Rattus norvegicus: one gene and its partner. The protein of the gene in region 2 interacts with the protein of the main gene of each other region in a pairwise test. Links are inferred from orthologs where the notes say so. Each region holds a gene or a part of one and is shown on either strand. Other genes may lie near its edges.

The links.
Region 1: the proteins of Hdac6 (region 2) and Erbb4 interact in a protein complementation assay, tested with the Homo sapiens proteins (2 studies listed by BioGRID and IntAct, with this or other methods). The link is inferred for Rattus norvegicus from reciprocal best matches to the Homo sapiens genes HDAC6 and ERBB4.

What each region holds. Positions count from the first base shown.
Region 1 is NC_086027.1:77,010,441-77,019,302, forward strand, and holds part of Erbb4 (receptor tyrosine-protein kinase erbB-4 precursor), read right to left. Parts: intron 7,499-8,862; coding exon 7,423-7,498; intron 4,830-7,422; coding exon 4,683-4,829; intron 2,434-4,682; coding exon 2,336-2,433; intron 630-2,335; coding exon 459-629; intron 1-458. UniProt on the Homo sapiens protein: Tyrosine-protein kinase that plays an essential role as cell surface receptor for neuregulins and EGF family members and regulates development of the heart, the central nervous system and the mammary gland, gene transcription, cell proliferation, differentiation, migration and apoptosis.
Region 2 is NC_086039.1:17,219,180-17,228,141, reverse strand, and holds the start of Hdac6 (histone deacetylase 6), read right to left. Parts: upstream 4,968-8,962; 5' UTR 4,797-4,967; exon of another isoform or gene 4,722-4,796; intron 4,635-4,721; exon of another isoform or gene 4,427-4,634; intron 4,421-4,426; exon of another isoform or gene 4,391-4,420; 5' UTR 4,361-4,390; coding exon 4,271-4,360; intron 4,181-4,270; coding exon 4,052-4,180; intron 3,931-4,051; coding exon 3,842-3,930; intron 1,860-3,841; coding exon 1,775-1,859; intron 1,682-1,774; coding exon 1,641-1,681; intron 814-1,640; coding exon 717-813; intron 564-716; coding exon 466-563; intron 1-465.

The DNA of each region.
Region 1 (8,862 bases), on a different chromosome or scaffold from region 2:
AGCCTTGGGTGTACTAGAACTCAGTCTGTAGTGCACAATGACCTAGAATTCAGAGGTCCTCCCACCTCTGTCACTCGAGTGGTAGAATTCAAGGTGTGCACCACCACCACCTGGCTTATGAATTAGAATTTTAAAGCTTTATGTTATCTGCTCCTATTGGGACCATAAAATATTTCAGGTTGATTCGCAATTACATATTTTCTTTTTCAGTACAAAGAAAAGTAAACCGTGGTCTGGAAGTGCGGTCCTTCCCTCCTACCTCCCTCTCTTCTTTCTTCTTATTTTAAATTGTTTTTCTTTTGTTTAGTTGCTGAGACAAGATCTCACTCTTTAGCCAGGCAGAAACTGGAATCATGACTAACCCTGTATATTTCTATGGAAACTTTTATGCCTCACCATCAGTGCATACCAATTTGTCTCTCAGAAGTATCATGGTACTTGTGTATGATTATTCTTACCCTATTGGAGTCAATTCTTGTTCTGGATGTGTAGATAGGAGGTGGGATATTGAAAGCCTGGGGGACCAAATATTCCTCAGCGTCCATCATATCTTCCAAATCCTCTTCATCCAAGAGATTCTGGAAGAATTTGCTGTCGTTTGGACTGGGAAGCTTCATGCGATCATCCCCCTGAAAGATTGCCCAAGAGATAACCACAACCATTATTCCTTCCTCCACAACTCATGGTTTCACTAGTCATTTTATACGCTAGAAAGGCAAACGGCTAGAGCACTCATGTGCTTATTTAAAACAACAGTCTTAACGTAACTACCATCCAAAAAGAATCCTGTACTATGGTTAGATAGTAAAAGGGATGACACAGAAATGGAGTAGAAGAATGCGATGATTTTAAGAACAGCAAGAAAAAGAACACAGCCAGGTGCTGTGCACATTTTAAGTGTGGGAAGTTCCACTTCAGATCTGAAAATAACAGTTCACTGTCGAGGAGGGGTAAGGATTAATAATCAACAGGAGCTGGAGGGGTTTGCATCCCCATAGGAAGAGCATCAACCAACCAGACCCCCCAGAGCTCCCAGGGACTAAACCACCAACCAGAGTACACATGGAAGGACCCGTGGCTCTAGCCGCGTAGGTAGCAGAGAGTGGCATTGTCTGCCATCAATAAGAGGAGAAGCCCTTGGTCCTGTGAAGGTTCGATGCCCCAGTGTAGGGGAATGCCAGGGTGGTTAGATGGGAATGGGTGGATGGGAGTGGGAAGATCTTCATAGAAGCAGGGGATAACATTTGAAATGTAAATACATAAAATATCCATAAAAATAAGTGTGCAATAAAGCTATGTAAAATCATGGGAAAAATTTAAAAAAAAGAATCGACAATAAGAGACCATCAACATATCAGTTTTAAATTAATACGTTTGCACTATTCTGCTTAGTCAGGACACAGACATCCATGGTCGACCTTGTAGTATAATGGCATCATTGTCAAAGTGATGGCATTTAAAAATCATAGTACAGTGACATATAGAGCATATGTGGGTGTGAAAACATATACGACCTCTGCTAAGGTTTGTTCCATTTATCATGCCTTAAATACTTTCACTTTTTCAAAATTTGTTATACTGGTAAAGAGTGTCAGTTTGTGACATGATTGTCTTCTAACGTCTGGCTTTGTTCTTCATGTTTAGTCTACTGAAAGGTAAATGCTCTTCTCAGTGAGGAAGAATTAAGACCCTTCAAGGTACAACTGCTTCTGCTTTAGATGAAACTAAGCACTGAGACATTATTATATTAATTAAATGAGCCAATCCATAGGGTTCCTGATGTTGAATGCAAAATACCTATTGCTTTGTTCTATGGTTTAGGTAGGCATCAATTCATCTGAATTGAGTTATTGCTTGGAGACGATACCCCTCGCCCAATAAAACAATCCACATGGACTTTTAAAATTAATATATGAAGAAATGGGTTTGTTATAGCATTATGATAAAATATTCATACATATATTGTTTTGGTTTATGACCTTCTGGTACTCCTCTCCCCTGGCTACTCAAATGTCATAGGTATTCTATTAGCTTCTTTCTTAATTTACCTTTCCCTTAAAACTTCTTTTTCCTTTCTAATGATCTCTTTCTAGTTTTGTGGCCTATACCATGTGTATGTGTATATGTAGACGGGTAAGTTTTACAGATGAGAGAGAATAGGTAGCATTTACCTTTCTGAGCCTGAATTTTCTCCTAGGCATACATAGAACCATAGTCAGATCCACGAATCCACAAGTTTTTCACATGGTCATTCTATTATCGGATGTTTTCAACATTGTAAAGTTTAGATAGAGTTTGTTATTAGAGTTTTAAAAGCAGCATCAAAACAACTAACCTGAATTACTAGGTATCTTTGAGGGTCTCTAGCCATCCTTGAAAACTCAGCAGCCAGTTCTTTGAATTTAGGTCTGCTGTCAGCATCGATCATCCAACCTGGAGATTAAGACGCAATAAACTATTAGTGCATCTATGCTTGGAGAAAGTGAGGTTAAAGTTTGGGTAATTATGGGGCAACTATGTGTGTATAGTTTTAGTAATATTCTGCAAAACAAAACTAGCGAAGGAAGCAAACCAGATTGTAACTCGGTTAATTGACATTGGTCATGGAATACAAGATACTATAAATTAACAATTTAAAAAAATCATTTAATTATGTTTTTTGTGTGGGTATGTGTACAGGGGCAGGTGCCTACAGAAGCCAGAAAAGAGCATCGGCTCACCTGAGCTTTGAGTTACAGGTGGTTGAGAGCTGCCTGACTTGGGCACTGAAACCCAGACAAATGTCCTCTGCAAGAGCATCACAAGCTCCTGACCGCTGACCCTTGTCTACAGGATCCCAAATTTTCATTGTGATTCAAACTCAATCTTTGGCTTAGAAAAATAGATTTTAGGATAACTCTAGGAAATTTTAAAACCTCCGATTTTTATTTTTCTTGCTTCAGAGTATTAAGATAATAAAACAATAAAGCATTCTTTGATGGCTACAGAGGTAGACAAAGAACACATGGAAGTTAAGATAGAAATTAAGAGTACATGGACGAAAGTGTTTGCTTGCCATCTTATCACTGTGGTACAAAAGACTGAAAGGGGGGAAACTGAAAGCAACTGCTTTTTGCCGGTTTGTTCCTGGTTGGAAGGAAAATGCAACATGATCTGTAATGTGTGTTCAACAATACTCATTTCACTTATCTTAGAATTAGCTTTCCCAGAATAAAAATACTAGTGTTCAAGGTAGGTAGCCTTCTTTATCTGGGAGTTCAGATTAAATGGATCTTAACGGCCTACGCTCTGTTTAGCTGATGAGATGACAAGAATAACAGCGCCAAGCTCGCTTTGATGTCATTGCCAAGTGATCCCTTTCTAAAGCATAAACTCTCCAGGGGAAGCGAGAAAAACAAAGGTGAAGCCATGTCTATGGTTTATCTAATAAGGCCAAATGTCTGCCTGCCTTCCCCTCATCACACTGGGGTATTCTAGTCACATCTGATGCTGGTGATGGGATCAAATTATCATATAACGTAGGGATGTTTTTAAGGTCTCTTCCAGGTAACTGGGTAAACCAGGACTGATCTAACGCAGCTATGGAGCTCTTTTTCTATTTCTAGGGAGTTCATTCTTATTCTTGTTTTGGAAATCCTCTGGGTATCATCTTATACATCCTTTGTGTCTCCTCTCGCAAGCCCAAACACTTGCATCTTATGGGTATTCATTTAAAAAAATGCTTGTTAATGCCAAGATGCTAATGGCAAAGCTACTAGAGCCAAAAAAGGTTAACTTCACTGCGAGATATTTGTTTCTCCCTAACTAAATATTGAGTAAATAGAACTATGCTTAGAGAAAAGGGCATGCTGACCTGCACTGCAAGGAACATTTTTTATTTCTTCCCTTCCTGTCAGAATAGATCACACATGTCATGAATATAAATATGAGAAGACCTGGGCCTAGAGTCTCTGAGTCTCTTATTAATAAAATGCCTATTCACCTTCACCACTTCCTGTCTTCCTTTAACCCTGTGTAAATCAAAACTAGAAAACCCCAGATTATACAAGAGAGATGGCTGCCTGTTAATCTCACTTAAATTAAGTCAGAAACCCCAGAGACTTCTTTAATTCTATTAAAATTAACGGTCTAGGCTTCCAAAAAAACACATTTATAAAACATATGTGTCTGGAGTATAGGAGTGGAAAGAAAAGTAGGAATATTTGATGTAAACAAATGATCAAATTAAAAAAGGTAAACATTTTAATCTTTGCTTCAATGTGGATTCCACTCTTCTGATTCCCAACCTGCTCTGCTAACTTACTTTTAATTAAGCCTATATCCATTTTAATTCTTTTTTAGACTATCAGTGATGTTTAGATATTTTCCCATGAAGATTAACATTAATATTATTACTAACATCCTTATGAGTAGTAATCTCTCTTTATGACCCACTTTGAAGGGTATGGAAATTATAAAACATATGAACAAGAATGATACAATTTTTACTTTGTAGCTTAGAGGTATACTATTATCTCATAATAATAATTACAACAAACATGGATTTATATTCCGCATTCCTAAGTATTCTTGCTACTATGTTTAGCAATGCAGGGAAACACTTTTCAGGTAGAACAATCTAAACTTTTATTTTATTAATAATAATGATGCAAGCAAGTGATAAAATTATTTTCCAGGCTTACATTTGACCATGACCATGTAAACGTCAATAGTGCAGATGGGAGGTTGAGGCAAACGCTCTCCCTTCTCTAATAAGTCAGGGATTTCTCGCGTTGGAATTCCATCATAGGGCTTTCCTCCAAAGGTCATCAGTTCCCATATAGTGACACCTAGTTGAAAAGATAATTCTCACATAAGCAAATTACCATCACAATTTGAATGAACACATATAAAGTTACTCGTTTACAAACCCATCAGTTGAAACTTTAAGGAATCTCCTTAATCCACTGTCACTCACTGCAAAAAATCCCAATGCTAAACTCTCCTGGGACCAGTAACAGAATTCTTTCACTATTGTCTTGAACTTTTTAAAGCATAGCAGGAAAGATTTGTAATAGGTAATAGATACCAGAATTTAAACCAAGTTTCCCATTTGTACCAAAAAGTAATGCTAACGCTTATTGATGAAAATGGTTTCACGTGCATTAAGAGCCCAGATACAATGCCTTGACTGTGTTTAATGCCAAATCAATATGGTTTCAGGAAAAGCCTGACATGGATTAATTTTTAAATTAGTCTCTTGGTAAGAAACATCATCAAAGGCAGAGCTGGTAGTCGCAGAGGGTTGCAGGTAGCTGTTGTTATGGTAAAGCCTTGTGGCTCACTGTTCAGCCTACACAAAGAAAACAAGTGGCATGGAGCAATTCACTGAGCACACACAGGATTCCGCACGAGGATCAATCCATATGGAGGACAGAAAGTATAGGAATGGGTATCCGTAGAAAAGAGAAATGAGGAAATCAAGAGCAGCTTATTTTTAAGCTACGGAAATGACTTTTTTTGAATCACTTGAGCAATGACGGAAAAAAAAATGAGTAAAAGCAAAACCAAGAACACAAATAGCTTCACAACACACATTACTTCTTCACTATAGAGGGTAAATTCTCTGTTGCTGAGCTTTATCCTCAGACCAGACTACTTTAAAAACAGAAATACGATGTACGCATGATTGTGTTGCAATACGAGTCTATGCATACATAGGTAACCCTTTATAAAACCAAATAATTGGGGCGAGGTTTTCTGAATATCTCTGCAATGCTTATTTTCTTAAACTGATATCTGTCAGTCACTATTGACTGAAAACAAAACAAAAGTATGTAAACTTCAAATTATCCTTCAGACTAGAATCGTTAACACTTATAGGATTATTTGTTAATATTTACATCTTATAAATTTTTGGTGTCACATATATGTACAACTAGTAACATATTTCAGCAGATTAGCATTTACTAAATCCTTATTTATATCAAGAGCTAGTTGCTCAAAGTGTCAATAGTTCCACTTCAGTGGAAGGCTTGGAAAATATTGATCTATTTAAGCAAGTCAAGCACAGTGTGATACACATATATGCATATATACACACATCATAATAAATACATACAAACATATATACATACATACGTACATACATACACACACAGGCACACACATGCATACACACACACACACACACACACACACACACACACACACACACACACACACGCACACAGCATACGGACACAGGAAACATTTTATTAAACCATGGAATCATGTTTGCTGTTGCAAAGGACAGTATTAAGTTAAACATGAGTACTGACGTCAGGGATTGTGTTCTTTTCTTCTCTCTTCTTTTATACGCATTTAGTTATGGGTGTGTGTAATCGTGAGGATCTGCCACAGCACATGACTGGAGGACAGAGGACAAGTTGAAGGAGTTTGTCTTCTCCTCCCACCAAGTCATTTCTGAGGTTGAGCTCACTCTCTTCACCTTGGCAGTAAGCACCTTCACCTTCCGAAGCATCTTACAGGCCTAGAGGCATTGGTTTTTACTCACTTTGAACGTATTTACTCAATTAATATTAGTTTTCATGGCATATTTAAACTTAGACAAAGCATCGATCTCATCTAGTAATTTAAAGGGACAAAACTGTAAACATAGATGCTGCTAGCTAGTTCACCTTAACAACTGACTTCAAAATGATGAAATGAAATTCTAATCATAAATATTAATCTCTCTTTCATGTTCTTCAATCATTCAAACTTTATTTTTGTCATCCTAAAATGGGTTCATAAATGAAAATCCAAGCTACAATTAGCAGTCTCCTATTACTATTTTTACAATTGCCACTTTAGTATGTTTATTAGTGGTCCACTGTTGCTTCAATAACCAGTATATTTTCTAGCACTAGAATATATATTCCTTTAAGCAAAAAATAACATTTTGCTTTGTTTTACCTGTTAACATTGAGTACTTTCAGAGTTTTATGACTAAACAGCTGTTGAAAATTAAGGCCACGAGAAGTTTTTCCTAATGTTGGTTAGGTTGTGTGTGTGTGTGTGTGTTTGTGTGTGTGTGTGTGTGTGTGTGTCTGTCTGTCTGTCTGTCTCTCTCTCTCTCTCTCTGTGTGTGTGTGTGTGTGTGTGTGTGTAAGAATAGATTAATCAGACAAATTATTCTCAAACCATAGCATATAGAAGAAAACTTAGCAGTGATATTGTGTACTTCAGATTTAGAAAAACAAAATAAATCACCAAAAGGCAGATAAAATTGTGATTTGGGGATTTATTTTTAAATGAGAGACCAAAGTGTGTTAATTACTCTAGGAAATCAAATTTAATTTATAAGGGCTTCCAGTACAACCAACATACGACTTTAACTATTTTGTGTGAGGTAAACATTTATGTTTCTTTGAAAGTACAAATTTACAAAGATTTATTTACCGTAGCTCCAAACATCGCTTTGATGTGTGAATTTCCTATAATGTATACATTCCAGAGCCATCCATTTAATTGGCATCTATAAGAAGAATGAAAAGTAAATTATTAAAAATTACACAAGAATCATTTTTAAAAGATATTTCTTAGGTGCTAGTCTCTGGACTGGCCTCCATTAGAGTTGGTGGAGTGTGTATTGCTATAAACCAGTTGTTTTTCAAGATATGGAACAAATGGATTAAAATTAGTAAAATCTATGAAATAAATTAACCAAAGGACACATTTTAAAGCTTTAGAAATGATACAAAGAAAACTGAAAGTAGAAAATACTTTATCTATTTCTTAACATCTAGTATCTAAATTTTGAGCTGGCATTATGCCTGGCAATATAAAATCTGACAGTCTTTCTAAACGATGCTTTCTCAAAAATGAGACTCCCTCAGTTTCAGTGACCCTGCTTGTCTTTCTGATATGGTTTTAACCACAGATGTGAGCCATTGTTTCTTCAGTTGCCGTAACTTCCTCTTCTGGTCACCAAATTGTCTAATATCATGAATTCTAACATTTGCTTTGCTTTGTTCTTTCATCACAAATGATCTCCCTTGCCTGGGTAAGCCAGAATGGGCAATATGTACTGCTTTCGAAATAGGAGCTCAGAACATAAAGGAATGTGAGGGGATCAGCACAAATCCTTCATCGCTACAAGAGAAACAACTCAACCCATATCCCCTGTGGGTGATGGGTCAGCAGAATGCGTTTCAACCCAAAGGGCAGCAGTATGTAGCTGGGGGATATAATTAGAGTCTATGAAATAAAGATAAACATTTCTACTTTGCAGTTGAAAGCTTAAAACTAAATAGGCATTTGAAATCATGAGGTTGGCTGCTCACCAAGGTGACACCAAGGTAACTCTATGACAGAATCATGGGATTCACTGAAAAGGAACAGAAGACACATTGAAAGTAATTTCCCTATGGGCAAGGAGTTAGCGGACTTTATAGAGTATGGACACCCTGTTACAGAAGTAAGTTTAAATCATATGTGGCTTGATGAAGACTTAATGGTGACCAGGCATTTAAAGCTATAATGAATCTTGCTTTAGACAAACTTTACAGTTGTACGTTCCTAAGACGGGTAAAGTAATATGATTTATAGTCTGCTATTTCGGAGAAATCTTGTTGGAAATTTCATAGCTGTGATTTTTCAACCACTGGAGTTTGTAGGAGTTTGTAGTAAATAGACAAAATAGGCTGATAAAATTGAAGAAAGGTCAGATCATTTCTCAAACTTTTATTTATTTAATTTATTTATTTTTATTTATATTTTATTTATATTTTATAAAATTTTGTTATCTTACTTTGGGGTAAGATTTGAATATAGACAATTATGTAAAGGCCTCCGGTGAAGCATTGCTAAGTATTTAGAATTCTACCATTCCAAATGTTT
Region 2 (8,962 bases):
AATGCTGGGTGCATCTGGATTTCAAGATGTTCCAGATATAGCCCCCTGAATCAATGAACTGTGGGACTTATTACTTACTAATTGAGTAAAACTACTGCTGAGAGGACACAGAAGTTACTGGTGACAATGGGCACCTTTCAGGAATCCACCAACACAGAGGAAAGAGAGTTTTATTGAACCCCCTTCGTGTCACTTGACTCTTCAACCACAGGAAGACACAGTACCCGAGTTAATACATTTTACATTTGGAAGACTTTTTTTTTAATATAGCCCAGGCTGGCCTCAAATTTATATAACTGACGCTAGCCCTGAACTCCCAAGCCTTCCTTTGACATCCACCTCCAAAATCCGGGTATTACAGATATGCACCTCTATATACCACTATGTGGAAATACTTTTTTTTTAATCCCTGCCCCGGATATACTTTTGAAAACATGTAAGAAGCCAAATGCTTAAGAGTCCTACCTGATGACGGCCATGCCATTCCGAATCTCAGCCCCCATAACTGCATCTACCAGCCTGAGGACAGAGCCTGTAGCTAGGCAGGCACATGAATATGAGTTCTGGAGACCATGGGAAACCAGAGAGAAAGAGTTAGAGAGAGGGAAAGCATTGCCCTATTCATTTAGCTTCTCATTCCCACAGTGAGGTTGGCATGGATACGGGAGATACCCCAGAGATGCTGCCACGCCCTGACCCCACAGTTCTCTCCATACCGGATGCAGATAAACGGAATCATAGGTGCCTGCAAGAACTCGAAGTTCTCCTTCATTCATGTACTGGGTTGTCTCCATCAGATCAATGTATTCCAGGCTGGAGACACAAGATAGAGGTTTTACAGCCCTGGTCCCTTTCCAGCCATACCTTCTACAACCAGAACTCTTGTCAAATCAGGCTTCCAGTCAGCCGAGGGGTTCAGCTGGGATTTAGGCTGCAGTCCCTGCTTCCTTTCTAGCCTCCCCCATCCCCAGTTATGTATTTAGTTCCCTGTTGAAAGACATCAACTTGTACTTCAAGGCCTCTGGCTATATAGTTACAGTTCTGTTGAATCTTCCTTTCCTCAGTCCTTCTCTTCCCTAGACTCACCCACTTTTTTGCCTCTTGGATCTCAGCTCATATATTCTCTCTGCCAAACTGGTTCTTCTGTGAGCCACACTGTACCAGGCTCCTTCCTTTGAGCTTCTTTAGTCCCCAGGACCCTCCTGGTCACTTTGACAAGTATCTAGCATCAGCCAATGAACCAGATTATAATGACACCAGCCCTTCACAGGTTTAAGATGCTGTCAGGTACCTGATACACACTGATCCCCCTGAAGGACTTAGATTTCTTTTCTTTAGGGGCTAGGAGGCTTTTTTTAGACAGGGTCTCATAAACCCAAGTTAAACCTGCTATGTAGCTGAGGCTATCTTGATTTCCTGATTCTCTTGTCTTCACATCCCAAGTGATGGATTGATTATAGGCATGTATCAACACACTTGGCTGGAACTTGGGTATTTTAGCCATGACGCAGATTCAGAGAGGCTCAGGGACTTGCTCAAGGCTGGCCACAGAGTCTATGGGATTCTCTCCTAAGCATTCAGTCTATCCAGGTTGGGCACGGGGATCCTCCTCCCTGTTCTATCAACTCCTATGTTTTCACCTGTGAACCAACATCAGTTCCTCCTTCTCGGCGAACCGGGCCTGGGGAGACACAAGGCAAACAGGCTAAAGTGCAGGCCATGCGTAGGTCCTGCCAGTTCCCCACCCACCCTTTGAAGGCTGTGGAGGAGTCACCTGAAAGGACACACAGCGGCCCAGGAGGCCCTCCAGGATCAGCTGCTCTTTGATGGCATGGAGCCGCTCAGGGTTTTCAGGGAAGCTGGGGAGGTGGAGAGGGGGATCACACAGATACACAGACAAAATGCTAGGGAGCACGTCTGCTCTTGTCCCATCTCCTACCCACCCTCCCATAGCTGCTCACCTCTTACCTGCAACATTAGCATTTCCTTACGTCTTCCACTACTTTCCTCCCTGCTAGCATTCATGCGGGTAGTGGGAAACTGCAGTCTGAGCTGTCTGCTCCATCACCTTTACCCGAACCGCCCCCTGCTTCTACACGGATTCCCCCAATAGCCCCTCCTTTACACTGCAGCCAGCCAGTGGTTAGGATTTTTACTCCTCAACACCCTTTTGTAGCTCTGACTCTGTTCCCAGTAAAGCCAAACTTTGCATCACACCTAGAAGGCCCTAAAAAATAAAGCTAGCCCCATCCCTATTCTGGTTCTTTCTAACCACACCCCTCCTCTTTCACCTTGTTTCCTGGGCTATGGTCCTTGGTCTGCAATTAAATCACATTCCCTTCAGCTAGACCTGAGGACTTCAACTGTCTTACATGTCTGGAATACTCTTTTCAGCGATGACTCATGGCTCAGTCCCTTAGCCTCCCCCCTCCGCCCCTTGTATCTTTACTCAAATGTTAGCACTACCTCCCCTAGCTATTGTATTCCAAAGGGAAGCACCCCTTCTACTCAAACTTTCCTCTCCCTCCCACCTGAATTCCTCTGCTCTAACACTGTAGAGGTCACCTCTTGACTACTTCTGAAGGCAACTTTGTTTACGGCTGTATCCTCAACAAATGTACCATAAAGAGAGCCTCTTGACATCGTGAGTTAGTTTCAGGTTAGGATAGGGGAGACGGCTACTATATTTGTAAATATCAGTGTAATGATTAACAAACGATGACGGAGGCTAGTAAAACAGCTAAGATCAGATGTGAGAAAGGTAGTGGCCAGTCAAAGGCTTCTGCGAGTCTCCATAGCTGTGAAAGTTGAAAGAGGAATCAGTCAAGGGTAAAGACCCAAGGCTAGAGGGCGCCTGGCATATTGAAAGAAGAGAAGGCGGCCAGTGTGAGTGAAGTGAACTGAAGCACACAAGGAAAGGCCTGGCTGAACAGGTCACAAAAGGTGACAGGGAGCCAAATCACGTGGAACCTTAGAGGCCAAGATAAAGAATTCCAATTTTACCTTAAGAGCAATGCTCTGGCCTTGAAGTATTTTAAGAAAGGAAATATCTCAAATGTATTTTTTTTTAGGTTTCAATGTGGAGGCTAGAAGCAGGGAACAAGTGGAAAGAAATCAGATAGTGAATATATTTTGAAGACAGAGCCAAAAAGAATAAATAGATTCTTTCGAGAAGTGTATTTCAGCATAAATGTCTCATTCTTTTTTTTTTTTTTGGTTTTTTTTTTTTTCGGAGCTGGGGACCGAACCCAGGGCCTTGCGCTTCCTAGGTAAGCGCTCTACCACTGAGCTAAATCCCCAGCCCCAAATGTCTCATTCTTAAAGAAGGCTCATGCTAGCTAGAGGCCAGGGCCCTCTAACAATCATTTCTAGCCAAGTGTAGTAGTTTATGCCTACAAATATCAGCACTCAAGTGGCTAAGACAGGAGGCTCATGGGAGGTTTGAGGCCGATGACTACATAATGAGTTCCAGGATAGCCCAGGGTACAGCGTCAGATTCTATCTCAAAGCAAAATTTTGCACGTGGATTTCCCAGTCATTTCGTCTTCATTGAACAGTTTATACCACTGTTGGGTGTTTAATGATCTCCCCTCATACTCACCAGTGAGCTGAGAAAGGTCTTTTCTATGTTGGTCACATATATCAGTAACTCTTGGCACACAGTATACACTCCGTTTATTGGCTTAAAAGAAAACCCTTTCCAGAATGATCCCCACTCCCTAAATCACCTGCTTCCAGACTACAGGCTCGAATAACAAAAGATTCACTCTTGTTTGTGGGAAGAAGGGGGCAATTGTGTAAATTTTATAGTTTGGGGACAATTTGGTGATCCCAGGCTCACCTGTCATCCCAAAGGCAGTGGAAGTCATTTAGCTGTTCATCAAATACCAATCCAGTACCAACTGGTACTCTTGTCTCAGAGTTCAGATCCTGCAGGGGAAAGAAATGAAACACAGATCCAATCAGAGGAAACACCTCACACCGTCCATGATGGGGAAAATCACTGTTTTGTTTGGTAAAGAAGGCCAAACTTCAGCCAGGCCTCGCTTACCAGCCCTTGAAGCCCAACGATTAGGTCTTCTTCAGCTGGTTGGCTGAGCTTCTTCATTTTGCCTTTCTTCTTTACCTCCGCTAGATTGGGGCTGGAGTGGGGTACAGCACCCTTCTTCCCACCACGCTTCTGCCAATCAGAGAGAAGAATCAGAAGACATGGATGGCTGGCTTCCCACCCCCCCTTCCACTCCCCAGCAGGGCTGGTCTGGGGCCTCACCAAGGTGGCGCTGGAGTCCTGAAGGGGCGATTGGGGATTGTGCCTACTCTTTCGCTGCCTGGTAGAAGAATCTTGGCCGGTGGAGGTCATGGCTGAAGAGCCTTTGCTCCTGGAACGGCTCTAGCAAAGGTGTCGTTGGTGGTGAGGCGGCTGCAGTGTCCAGAGGACCCCACATCACAGCTCCTTTCCAGGCCCCGCCCCCTATTCTAGAGCGCAGCCTTCACCCCGTTCCATTCCCGAGCCTTCTAAACCCCGCCCCCCCCAAGGCCATCTTCTCCTAGAGGAAACCTGGTCCGGTCCATTCCCCCTGGACCTCGCTGCTTTTACCCGATTCTTTCCTCATTTTGCCTATTCACTAAACGAGGTAAGCCCAGGCTCAGCCAGGCTCTTCTAAGGCCTGCCCTGTCCAGTCACCGCCCCCCACCCCTCCACTTCCCACATCCTTTCATACCTCTAATCTGCGCTCGGAACGCTTGGCTTCTGCAACCTGCCCGCTTCAGCCTAGCTCCCCAGATAAATCACCCACCTTTCTCGTCCGCCAGACCAGGCTGCCGCGGCCTCGGCAGCACCCTCAAAGACTCACTCAACTCCACCTCCTGTAGGGCCGAGCCCGCACCTTCCTCTCTCACAGATCTCGCCCCCAGCTTTCCCCTTTGCCCCGCTGCTCAGAGGACTGCCCCTTTCGAGCAGAATCCTTCAGACCCCACCCCCTTCCCAGACGCCTACCGTTTAACCAAGCTCCCTCAGCCGGTGGCAAGCCTCCGCCCAACTCCCGCCCAGCCATCCACGCCGGCCAATCGTTTTGTCCCTACTTACTGAGCACTGCCCCCTTTCCAAACTCCGCCCTTGACTCGCGCCGCCAAATTCCCGGCGACCTGTGTGGCCCCGGGCCCTCATCCCTTCTTTTCCATTGGGCTGAGCGTTTTAATTTACCCGCCCACCTCCAGCCCACAAAACTGATCTAGTCCGCCCACAACGCTTCGGGTGCAAACCACACCTCTCGCGAGCATGCCCGTGGAACCGGTCCTACTGCGCCTGCGTGGTGTTCTACTCCCAGGTTCGAGACCCGGATCTGCCCCTAGCGCTAACACGCTCCCCACTCCCCACCCCCGCATCCACCGCTGCTGTGGTTCGGATTGCTGCTGCCGCCATTCTCAATTCCAGGCTAGTCATCCTAGAAGACCTACGGATTCGCATCAGTTGTGTTGTGTGGAGCAAATCAAAGAAGCTAGGATGTTTGGAAGAGACGTCTGCTCCCAAGATTCCTGAGCTGCGTTTGGCGATGACGTAGCTCGCGCCAGCGGGTGACTAGTTCGAGATAAACGCTAATAATAGACTTTGGCTGGTGGCAACCCAAATGAGTGTGATGGTAAATGTTGATAATTTCCTGAGCTACTAGTCACTCCGATGGTATTCAAGAAGCAGCCCCAAATGTTAGCTATTAAGACTAGAAGGAGTCTCTGCGAGCTGGTGCAGGGGTGGGGCCTAAGTGGCTCAGTGTGTCAGAAAGCCTGACTTCTGTGAGGCAGTTTGCATTGTTAAGGCTGCTCTGTAGACAACACACAGAGGGACTTAGATTTAGATCTTGGCAGGTCACAGCTCTGTCCTCAGCTTCCTCTCCTGGAAAATTGAGATGCTAGTACCAAGATCAGAATGGATTTGCAAAGGACTGTTTCTCCTGAATGGGAGCTCAACCTACCTGTCCCCCTCTGAGTAATCAAACTAATAGCAAGTGGTAGACTGAGAAGGGAAAATTGTCCCTGTGACTCTTTGAGATGCCCATCCTGTGTCTAAGTATCTAAGTATCAGTCCCACAGGTGACCGAGTTGTCCTGATCTTCCCCCTCTTGAGGACACCATTTCCTAAGGAGCTTTCTGGCTGTGACCAGAAAGAAACCATCTGGGGTTCTGCATCACTGACTAGCAAGTAGAGTGACAGTCCCATAATCCAATAGCCAGACCCTTGGAACCTCTTGCAGATGCCAGTTTCAGCCCTCCACGTTCTCAGCACAACTTTTGTCTTAAGGGCAATCTAAATCTACACACACGAAAGAAAATAATACTACATAAAACATGCTGGGAGAGATTGAAGATCACTGTAGAACATGAAGTCCCATGTTCTTGTAGAGTCAGAAAAGGTCCCTGTACAACAGGGCCCAGTAAACTTTAAAAAAGCTCAGATTTCAAATAGTTTAGGCTTTGCAGCCACATTTAATCTTTGATACACTTCCTTTCTTTCTTAAAAAAAAAAAATCATGGGCTGGAGAGATGGCTCAGCGGTTAAGAGCAGTCTGCTCTTCCAGAGGTCCCAAGTTCAAATCCCAGCAACCACATGGTGGCTCACAACTGTCTGTAATGAGGTCTGATGCTCTCTTCTGGTGTGTCTGAAGACAGCTACAGTGTACTCATATGTAATAAATAAATAAATCTTTAAAAAAATCAAGCAACAACCATTTGTTCCAAAAATTATTTTTTGCTAAGTTTTTGAGACAGGGTCTCTCCATTAAGTCCCACCTGTCCTAGAACTCTGTAGACCAGGCTGGCCTCAAATTTAGAGATCCACCTGCCTCTGTCCCCTGAGTTCTGGATGAAAGACACGTGTCACCATGCAGAGCAGAGTTGACATATTATGCCTGTGTGTATATGTCAGAGCCTAAGGAGGCCAAGAAAGGACATGGGATCCTCCAGGAGGAGGAGTAAGAAGTGTTCATGAATCCTTTGATGTGAGTGCAAGGAATCTAGCACTGAGCCATTCTCTAGTCCAACAATTTAAAACAGTGCTTCTCAGCCTGTGGGTTGTGACCCCCTTGACAAACCTTTATCTCCAAAAATACTTACCTTACCATTCATAACAGTAGCAAAATTACAGTTATGAAGTAGCAACTAAAACAGTTTTATGGTGGGGGCTGGGGATTTAGCTCAGTGGTAGAGCGCTTGCCTCGGAAGCGCAAGGCCCTGGGTTCGGTCCCCAGCTCCGAAAAAAAGAACCAAAAAAAAAAAAAAACCAAAAAAAAAACAGTTTTATGGTGGGAGGGGTCGCCACACCATGAAGAACTGTATTAAAGGGTCACAGCATTAAGAAGGTTTGAGAACCTCTGCTTTAAAAACATAAGATTGCCAAGCGATACTGGCATTTGCCTTTAATCCCATCTCTCAGGAGGCAGAGGCAGTTGGGTCTCTGATTGGAGGCCAGCCTGGTCTACAGAATGGATTCCAGGACAGCCAGGGCTATATAGAGAAACCTTGTCTCTAAAATCCCAGAGAAAAGAAAATGCCTCTGTAAGGACAGGTCGTAGGCAGGCCTTTAAGGGCTTTCTCCCTCCCTAAATGGTTACATTTCTATTCTTAGATACCTTGAAGATGCTTATTTGTATCAATCTTTTTTCTTCTTCTCAGTTTTTTCTTCATCTCAATAGCAGTTTGCCCTCCCTTCACCCCTTCCCAATCCACTCTCCCCTAGGTCCACTTTTCCTCCATTTTCCCTTCAGAAAAAGAATAGGCCTTCCAGGGACATCTACCAAACCCGCACAAGATGCAATAGGACCAGGCACAGCCCTCACATCAAGGCTGGACAAGGCAACCTAGTAAGAGGAAAAGGATCCCTGAAGCAGGCAAAAATGTCAGCGACAGCCCCTACTCTAATTGTTAGAATTCCTACAAGAATACCAAGCTGGACAACCGTAACATATGTGCAGAGAACCTAGGGAAGTCCCATGCGGGCTCCCTGGTTGTTGGTTCAGTGACTTTGAGCCCCTATGAGCCCTGCTTAGTTGTTTTTGAGGGAAGTGTTCTCATGGTGTCTTTGACCCTTCCGGCTCCTGCAACCCTTCCTCCTCCTGCTTCCTTGGGATTTCCAGAACTGGCTAATTCTTGGCTGCAAGTCTCTATCTGCTTCCATCAGGTGCTAAATGAAGCCTCTGAGGATGGGATAGGCAATGATCTATTGTTTTGGCTAGTATTGCAGGTCGCCTCTCCTGAGGCATTTTCTTAATAAGTGATTGTTGAGGAGGGGCCCAGTGCATTGTGGGTGGTGCCACTCCTGGGCTGGCGGTCCTGGGTTCTATAAGAAAGGAAGCTGAACAAGGCAGCAATTAGCACCCTTCATGACCTCTACATCAGCACCTGCCTTCTGGGTCCTGCCCTGTGAATTCCTGTTCTCACTGCTTTTGATAAGCTATTATGTGGAACTGTGAGCGAAATAAACCCTTTTTTCCCCAAGTTCCTTTTGGTCATGGTGTTTCATAACAGCAATAGTAACCCTGAGACAAGTTGGTCTTAGGGGCATTGCTGCGGCAACCCTGACAATGTCGTTTGGGGGAGGGTGTTCATCAGTGTTTGATGAGCCATTGTGTAAAAGGTTGGAAGATGAGACTTTTGAGGGCAATGTGGATGATAGAGGTCTGGCTTGTGAAGTGACAGAAGTTTAAAGACACAACTGGGGCCATTTGTTATTTTGAATTAATATTCTATGGTTCTGGTCAGTTGGGGCTGAAGATTTAACAAGATAGCAGAACTGCTTAAGCAAGCCCTTTGCCTTGCTGGGATTTCCAGTGCTGCTCAGGTGGAGATGAGAAATTAATGGTGATTAAGAGGAGATCAGGGCTGGAGAGATGGCTCAGCGGTTAAGAGCACTGACTGCTCCTCCAGAGGTCCTGAGTTCAAATCCCAGCAACCACATGGTGGCTCACAAACA